Linked DNA regions of Sus scrofa. The protein of the gene in region 2 purifies or fractionates together with the protein of the main gene of each other region. This does not show direct contact. Links are inferred from orthologs where the notes say so. Each region holds a gene or a part of one and is shown on either strand. Other genes may lie near its edges.

Region 1 (4,016 bases), on a different chromosome or scaffold from region 2:
CAGTTTATCCTTAGCTGCACTTCAAACAAGGACAAAAGGAGGAAAGGACTGGACACCAGGCCTCGGTCCCAGGAGGAGGGCAGACTCAGCCTCACCTGAAGGGCCCGGGTGTCCCTCCCACCTGACCTTGGTCCTGCAGCTTTACCACCTTCTCTCAGGAAGCAGCCTCCTCTCACAACTGGGCGGCCATGTCCATCCTCTCCACAGCCCCACTGCACGCCTCTGTGCCTGATGAGCCTCTAATGGTCCAGAGCAAGTACTCACTTTACCCTTCGTGGGCATCAACATTCACTGGGCCTAGGGTCGTCCTGCCTGTGACATGTGGGACCACCCCAGCTCACAGCACTTTTTGGTACCAAGACCAACTGCAGGCAATCTCACTCAGCATAAAAAAGAGCTTTGATTTAATAGGCTCCCTTTTGCCTATTCAAACAATCACTTCATCTAACGCAATGGAAAAAAATTCTTCATGCAGTGTTCGCAAAGATGGAGATAAGACTTCACACATAGGAGTTCCCGATGTGGCTCAGTGGTTAACAAATCCAACTAGGAACTGTGAGGTTGTGGGTTCAATCCCTGCCCTTGCTCAGTGGGTTGAGGATCCGGCGTTGCAGTGAGCTGTGGTGTAGGTCGCAGACGCGGCTCGGATCCCGCGTTGCTGTGGCTCTGGCGTAGGCCAGCGGCTACAGCTCCAATTCGATCCCTAGCCTGGGAACCTCCATATGCCGCGGGAGTGGCCCAAGAAATGGCAAAAAGACAAAAAAAAAAAAAAAAAAACAAAAAACAACTTCACACATAGCCGGTGGGGGAGCAGGCAGAGCAGGCACCGGTCCAGCTGTCTGGCAGGCAGGGGGCAACATGGACCAAGAACTTAAAAAAATGTCCACGCCCTCTGACCCTGGTAACTTGACTGGTGGTGTTTAAACTCAGGAAATGAAGAGACAAGTATGTGAGATGTGTATAAGGACACATGACACACGATGTGGTCCTGAGTGGGGAAGAAGTGGAAACAGTGCTAAATGTTTGATCCCGGGACCCAGGGATGTAAACATGGCGTGACCACATGAGGAAAGACTGTGTGGCTCTGAACGCCAGTAAGTCACACTCCCTAGTCAGAGCCTGCCAGGAAGACCTGCTAAGTGACAAATGCAGGCTACACACACACACACACACACACGCGCGCGCGCACATTTCAATGATGTAAACTCTCTAAAAAGATCTAGGAAGACAAGCACTAAAGATGTGAAGATCAGGCGGGGGGCTTTTCAGGGACCCCATGTCCTTTCCTGGGTGTGACATCCGGACACGACACACCTCGTGTGCCTCCCCCTCTCCCACCCTTTACTCCATGCTCCCAGAACCCTGACTGATGGCCCTTCACTGATTCTTATATGGCCAGGAGGCCAGGGAGGGTCTGCTTTGATCCCTGTTCACAGCTAAGGTGGGGGCGGCTCCCGAGGTGAATACTCTAACCCAGGCCACCCAGTACATGAGGGCAGGGCAGCAGTAGAGACACAAACAGCCCAACTTAAAGAGGGACAAAGGATTTGGAAAAACATTTCTCCAGAGGAATAAACATTCAACAGGCATGTGAAAAGATGCTCAACATGACTAATCATCAGGAAAATGCTATGCATACCACAGGGAGATACCACTTCACACCCAATAGGTTGGCTATGACTTTGAAAATGGGCAATAATGAGTGCTGGCAAGGATGCGGACAAACGGAACCCTGACACACTGCTGGTGGAAAGTGAAATGGGGCAGCCGCTGAGGAAGAATTTGGTGGTTCCTCAAAAAGCCGAACATATACTGTATGACCCTGCATTCCTGTTCACACAAAATCATGCTCACGGATGTTCACAGCAGCATTATTCATACAGGCCAAAAAGTGAAAGAACCCAAATGTCCACCAACCAATGATGGAGGAACGAGACATGGTGCAGCCATTCGAGGGAATGGTACTCAGCCCTAAGAAGGAGAGACAGCTGCCAGAGATTGGATACTCCTTGAAAACATGATGCTACGGGACGGAGCCCACCCATGGATTCCAGCCAAAGGAAACATTCAAAACCAGCAGATCCACAGACACAGAAAGTAAAATAGCGACTGCCAAAGGCTGGGGAGGAGAAACGAGAAGGCATGGCACTTGCTTCGGGGGCGATGGGAAGTTTGGAATCAGACACAGAGATGGCTGCATAATACAGTGAACAGACCACCAAACTGTTCGAGTGAAAATGGTAAACTTTGTTATGAGAATCACCTGTCAGTTAAAAAAATATTAAATCTAAATCTAAGAAAAAACGTCAGGGCAGGGAGTCAAGCCCCAGGACAGTGCAGTCTGCGCTCCTGGGGCCCTGGGCTGCTCCTCACTCGCTGGGGGAGGAAATGACCTCTGCACCAGGCAGATGAGGCCTCAGGTGGAGGAGACCCAGTGCGCCCACACCCACCCCTCCCTGGAAAGACCTGTCTGCATCCTGCTGGCCTTCCAACCAGGTGCTACACACTGTCACCTAGTGGGGAGGGGACAGGAAGCTGGGGCCTGCAATTGCACACAGGATGGCACACCACCCGCAGGGCCACGCACCTTAAAGCCGCCGCCAACTTCTCCGAGGACATTTTCCACGGGCACCCGGGTGTTCTCGAAGTGGACCTCGCAGGCTGGAACACACGAAACTGGGACCTCACCCTGGTACTGGTCACTGGTCACTGGGAGCACGGGGTACCCCGCCCTTGGCCAGCAAGCAGGTGGCGCAGTCTAGGCACTTGCTGGTTCAGACCCTCCAAGGTCTGAGCTTGAAGACCCAAGCAGCAGTCTCCTGAGGCTGAGTGGCAGCAGTGGACAGGACAAGGGCCCCTGATGGACCCTGGCCTCAACTGGGAGTGCTGCAGGTCGGTCTCAGCAGGAGAGTGAGGACAGAAGGAGGTGTCGGGAAGGGCAGGCGGGGCTCTGCAGTTAGCAATGCTTCCCTCAGAAACCCCACCACTGCCTCAACACCGTCCCCGCCCGAGTGTGGGGATGCATGTCTGTGCCCACTGCACTGAGTTATTCCACAGGGCTCCCTTGCACTGCTGTGGAGGGGCCCCAAGGCAGCCCAGACCTGATTCTGCCAATGTGCTTGGGTGGAACCCCAACTATTTCAGTCTCATTTTATCTTGAGATCTGAGATATTGGTGTTTCTCTGTTTTGTTTTGTTTGCCACACCCGTGGCATGTAGAAGTTCCCAGGCCAGGGAATTGAACTTGCACTACGGCAATGTCAACACCAGATACTTAACCTGCTGGGCCTCCTCTGACAGCTTTTTATCAAGATAAAAATCTCATTCTCTGCCTCTCCTTCTCTCACATGTACACACGCCTGATACTTACTGTTGGAGCCTCGGATGCCTAGCTTATCCTCTGGTTTCCCGCTGGTGACTCCACCAAAGTCCCTCTCTACTATGAATGCTGTGATCTTGTCCTTTACTGAGCCGTCGGAGTCAACAACCTCGGTCTTCGCAAACACAGTAAAAACACTGGCCAGCCCCCCATTGGTGATCCAGACCTGAGGAAAGAAAGCAAGAGGGCTCCAGAGAGAACCAAACTACTAGGTGCCACCTCAGGGCGCCAGCTCTCGGTCACACCACAGGCCAGGCTGACGGTGGGAGAGAGGCAGCAAGGAGCCAGAAGGGGGGGAGGTGGAGGAGGGGGAGGGGAGAGGGACTTCTCCACAAACTGCTCCGTACAGAACTTATCTAGACCCTAAGTCAAGCACACTGAAAAACAAACAGGTATGAGACAGTAGGGAATTCTGAATGCCAGGTGGTAAGAAATCAGAATCATTTTTTAAATGTACAGTAGTTGCAGAGATGGGGCCACTGTGACCCATCACGATGCCATGCAGAGGTGGCGATGTAACAGAGGACACACTGTGCCAGGAGACAGGGGATGGAAGTTCAGGACTGAACTTTTACATGTTTCAAATTCCAAAAAAAAGTGAACGAAAACAAAAAACAAAACAAAACAAAGAAAAACAA
Region 2 (4,715 bases):
GGCCCTTAGTAGCAGCAACTTCTTTCAGCTGAGGAGTGAAATCACTTGAGGAATCATAGCAAAGAGCATGATGACCAGAGGGCCACTTCATCCTGGAAAAGCCTCTCTAGCTTGTTCTATCAATTGGAGGTGCACACATCGCCTGAAGGGGTTTCACGGGAAAACCTGAGTACCAAATGGCTTCAAGAGGGTTGTTTCCAAGGTCTAATCTTGAGAAGCGATGCTTCTGGCCTCTCTCCTTACCCTCTGCAAAGCTGTTAATGCAACAAGTGTGAAGGCAATGCCGAATCTCCTTCCTCAAATCCTGCAGTGGCTTCTCACCGCCCTTAGAATCAAGGCAAACTCTAAGGTGGTTCACACACCCTAGGGACCTGGCCTCCCAGAGTCGTCTCTCACACTGCAAGCTCTGATGCAGCACCAACTGTCCTGGACGTTCCCCAGTTCCTCCAAAGCATCATAGGTTCTCTTTGGTTTTCATAGCCTCTGCCTGGAATTCTCGCCCAGAATCAGTTATTTTTTGCTGACCCAGCATAATGCCCTCTTCTGGTAATGGCATCTCAATCTCCTTGGGAACCCACCCTCCCTCAGATCTGTCTGCATAATTTGGATAGATGTGATCATACTAGGGAGGTGGAATAGGACCCATGCCTGGCCAGACTGGAGTCAACCTTAAGACTTTTGCTGGCAATGTCATGAGGTACCGTTCTACTGGGGTTTTGGAGACAGAACGACAGCCTGGAGTGCCTCGGGGACATCTTTGCCACCATTCGAGAAACCTGCTTGAACATGAAGCCACACAGAGGAATACAGATCTAAGAGACAGAGACAGTTTCCTAATGCTATCATTTAAGCACCTGGAACCAGCCATACCTGAAGTCAGCTACTCTGGGAATTTGCACTTACATGAGCCAATGTGTTCCCCTGTTGCTTAAGGCAACTTGGGCTAAGTTTCTGTCAACTGCGACTAGAGAGTTTCTCAAGAACACACTTTCCCTTTTCTTTGGTTAACTCTTGTCCATCCTTCAGGTATCAACTTAGAGGTTTCCCTGTTCCTCCAGTCTAGATTTTGTTTCTCCTCTGTCCATCCATAGAACCCTGTATTTTCCACATATTAACATTCACATCACTGCACTGTAGTTTCTTATTGGCTCATTTGATTCCCTCCCTAGACTCTGGGCCACAAGCATGAGTCTTCCTGTGGTATTCACCAGTGTGTCCAGCTCTGTGCCTAGTATACATTAGGCTGTTAGTCATTTTTGTTGATCAGATAAATTATTTATCTAATAGAAATCACTGAACTTGTACCTAGGAGTCTCTATCAATTTGGAGAGATTGAGTCAATGCCTGAACCCCTGTACTGAGAATTCTGAGACTGAATTCAGATTCATCAAAGAAAAAAAAATGCTGTGATCAGTCAGTACTGCCTGTCATGGGTCTGGGAATGTAGAGTTGCAATATCCATGCCACATGCTCACCATCTTTGGCTTATATTATCACTGAATTATTGCTCTTTGTTCTCAATCTGTTCTTTGAGTGAACATCTTGTCTCTTCAATTAGATTGTAACCTCTACGTCTTTTGTTTGGGGTTTTTTTCCAGGTATACAGAAGGTATGCAGAAGTTCCCAAGCCTGGGATCAAACCTGTGCCATGAGCCACAGCAGTGACAACGCCAGATCATTAACCTGCTGAGCCACCAAGGAAGTCCAGATTGTAACCTCTTGGAAGGCGTGGATCAAATCTTTGGCCTTTCAAGTGTTACTGATCTCTCTGGATCATACTTAGAATTGCTCAGTAAATATGAGGCAGATCTACATCCTTTCAAAGTGACAATTTGGAGACTCCACAACTGTAACTGTCCAACCACCTCACCATCTCTCCATGGTCTAGTGAGGGCCCTGGTCCTCAGGTCTCCGGATCAGACTAAGATTTATAGATAGCACTGGCTTTCCTGGGTCTCCTGTAGATCGTGGGACTTCTCAGCTTCCATTAACTGCATGAGCCAGCTGCACATAATAGAGCTCCTCCCTTCCCCCCTCACGGCATATCTCCTACTGGTTCTGCTTCTCTAGAGAATTCTGATTAAGACAATACTGGTGCTATTTCACGGCATTTAGGAACACAAGCTATCCTACCAATCAAAGGCTGCAGTAATTCCTAAGAATGAAATAAACACGAGCTTCAAGCATTCCTCAGAATGAAATCAGTGAGTAAATTGGACGAATGAGATGGACTGTCAACTCCACGTGCCCACTCTCTTCGCCACTGCAGGGGCAGAAAGTGGCACATTTCTCAGCCCCCCCACCCCCATCCCTCCTTGTTAGCAGGCTTCCTATAGGTTCTACCGACAGGAGGCCATTGTTGAGTTCATGGAAGGTGGGAGAAGGAAGAGGCCATTTTCCCAGCTCCTCTCGCAGGTGACACTGGCAGCACCACCAGCAGTGGTGGTGGCAGAGTGACATGTGGCTTCTGACCCTGCCCAGGCAGCTCGTTCCCATCAGCAGCAGACTCGGAGGCACCAAGCCTGTAGATTCTGATAACCTCACACCTCCGTCTTGTTCCTCCAGCCCTTCCAACACCTTACTAATCAATTCCTTGTATTAAATTCCCTCCGTGAAATATGAGTTTGGATACTCAGTGATAAAATGAACCGGAGTAATACACACTTGGGCGGTTATCTAACCCAGCCCAGGATCCTGTTCTCAGGGAACAGCCTCCAAAGACCCGTGGAAGGCGTCCCCCAAGGCCAAGTGTTTGGTTACCATGTGACCCCACCCCCCACCCCCATGCTGCTCATTGACCATTGTTAACTCACCTGATAAAAGTGGGGTGGTCAGATTGTTCTCCAGGGAATAGAACATGTGACATTCAATCACTGAGTGGTCTCCGCTCTTGCTCAAATTTAAAACAGTCCACGTGTACAGTTCAGCAAGTCTCACCTGGAGTGGTATGGTCCTCCAGGGCAATGCCTGGAGACCTTTTTGGTTGTCACGACTTGGGGATACTACTGCCATCTAGTGGGTGGAGGCCAGGGATGCTGCTAAACATTCTGCAATGCACAAGACAGCCTCCACCTGGGAGAATGATCTGGCCCCCAGTGTCGTAGTAAGGATACAGAGACTGGAGGTTTGGAGATGGCTATGCTTGCCCACATGCTTGCTAGGGAAGGAAAAAATAGCTGCAAGCAAAAGAGGAAACAAGGCAGATGCATCCAGGTGATGGATATATGGGGAAATGTATTTTCTAAATAACTAGTTCCTCACGAGTCCTCTTCCATGGAAAGAAATGTACTCATCTATTTTTTGGTTAAAACGTTGTCCAGTGGGAATGAATGAACCACAGCTGCATGAAAAAAATGGATAATTCTGAGCCATAAAATGTCACTTTTGAAAAGCCAGTCCCTGTAAATTACAGACAATACAAGATTATTTTTATAAAGCTCTCACACAAGCAGAATTTTTGCAAATGTTGCTTAGGGAAACTTACATATTTGATAAAACTGGAAGAAAAAGCTGAAAGGTAAACACAAAATTGAGAACGAGGTCCCCTTGGGACAGGGTGGAGGGAGGCAGGGTGATGGGAGAAAGAAAGTACAGAGTCAATGGTTCTAGTCATATTTTGAGGGTTAAGTTGGGTGCTGGCTTCATAGGTTTTGAGTTTATTATTATGCTTTATAATGTATATTTTTTTTTCACAGGTCAAATAATATAGGGACCATCGAACTCTGGCCCACTGGCCAAATCTGCCTGTGGCCTATTTTTGTAAGATCTTCTTGTGTTTGGAAATGGTTTCAAATATTTCATGACACTTGAAAATTACATGAAATTCAAATTTAAGTGTCCATAAAGTCCATTTGTTTACAAATGCCTAAGGCTGTCTTCTTAATAACGGAATTCATGATGGACACTGTAAAGCTTGGAAAACTTAAAATATTTATTCTCTGGCCCTTTATAGAAAAAGTTTGCTGACCCCTTAAATAGTACCTTAAAGAAGAAAAAATGTTTAAAAACTCTCATAAAAAGAATCTAGGAGTTCCCATCATGGCTCAGCAGAAATGAATCTGACTAGTAACCATGAGGACACAGGTTCAATCCCTGGCCTCACTCAGTGGGTTAAAGATCCAGCATTGCCCTGAGTTGTCACAGCTCAGATCTGGCGTTGCTATGGGTGTGGCATAGGCCGGCAGCTACAGCTCCAATTCAACCACTAGCCTGGGAACCTCCCTATGCGGCAGGTATGGCCCTAAAAAGACAAAAGAAAAAAAAAAAAGAATCTATCTAATCTAGTGATTTAAATACCTCCTCTAGGCAACACTCAGCCATTGGGTTAATCAGGTCCCCTGTTTCTGTGTCTGCTCTGCCAAGATGATTTTCAGGTACTTGGGGGCAGGGTGAGCACAGGTGGTCTGAGTGGCCTGCCAGGCCTCATCCTTACTACATAGGATCCAGGAATAGCAGGGGAAAGAAAGCAAAAAGCCAAGGCTGCCCTTGGCCTCATCCAAGTTCACTTTCAATGTAACATTCCTGGGTGTAGACAGATCAGCCAGAGAGCCAGAGGACATTCAGAGTCACATGGATGAGCAGGAGTCCCTCAGGCCCCCACCCCGGGACAGACTGGCCACAGTGGGAAATTAAGACCCAGATACCTGCTTTTCTCTTCTTGGTGAAGTCATGCCTTGCCTGCACCTTGTATTAATAAGTCTCCAGGCTTGGATCCA

The links. The genes of interacting proteins can lie anywhere in the genome.
Region 1: the proteins of EYA2 (region 2) and ACAD9 purify together in Homo sapiens (affinity purification with mass spectrometry; 3 studies listed by BioGRID and IntAct, with this or other methods). This does not show direct contact. The link is inferred for Sus scrofa from reciprocal best matches to the Homo sapiens genes EYA2 and ACAD9.

Annotation. Positions count from the first base shown.
Region 1 is NC_010455.5:71,409,235-71,413,250, reverse strand, and holds part of ACAD9 (acyl-CoA dehydrogenase family member 9, mitochondrial), read right to left. Parts: intron 3,545-4,016; coding exon 3,370-3,544; intron 2,677-3,369; coding exon 2,588-2,676; intron 1-2,587. UniProt on the Homo sapiens protein: As part of the MCIA complex, primarily participates in the assembly of the mitochondrial complex I and therefore plays a role in oxidative phosphorylation.
Region 2 is NC_010459.5:48,928,947-48,933,661, reverse strand, and holds the start of EYA2 (eyes absent homolog 2), read right to left. Parts: upstream 2,981-4,715; 5' UTR 2,867-2,980; coding exon 2,814-2,866; intron 1-2,813. UniProt on the Homo sapiens protein: Functions both as protein phosphatase and as transcriptional coactivator for SIX1, and probably also for SIX2, SIX4 and SIX5.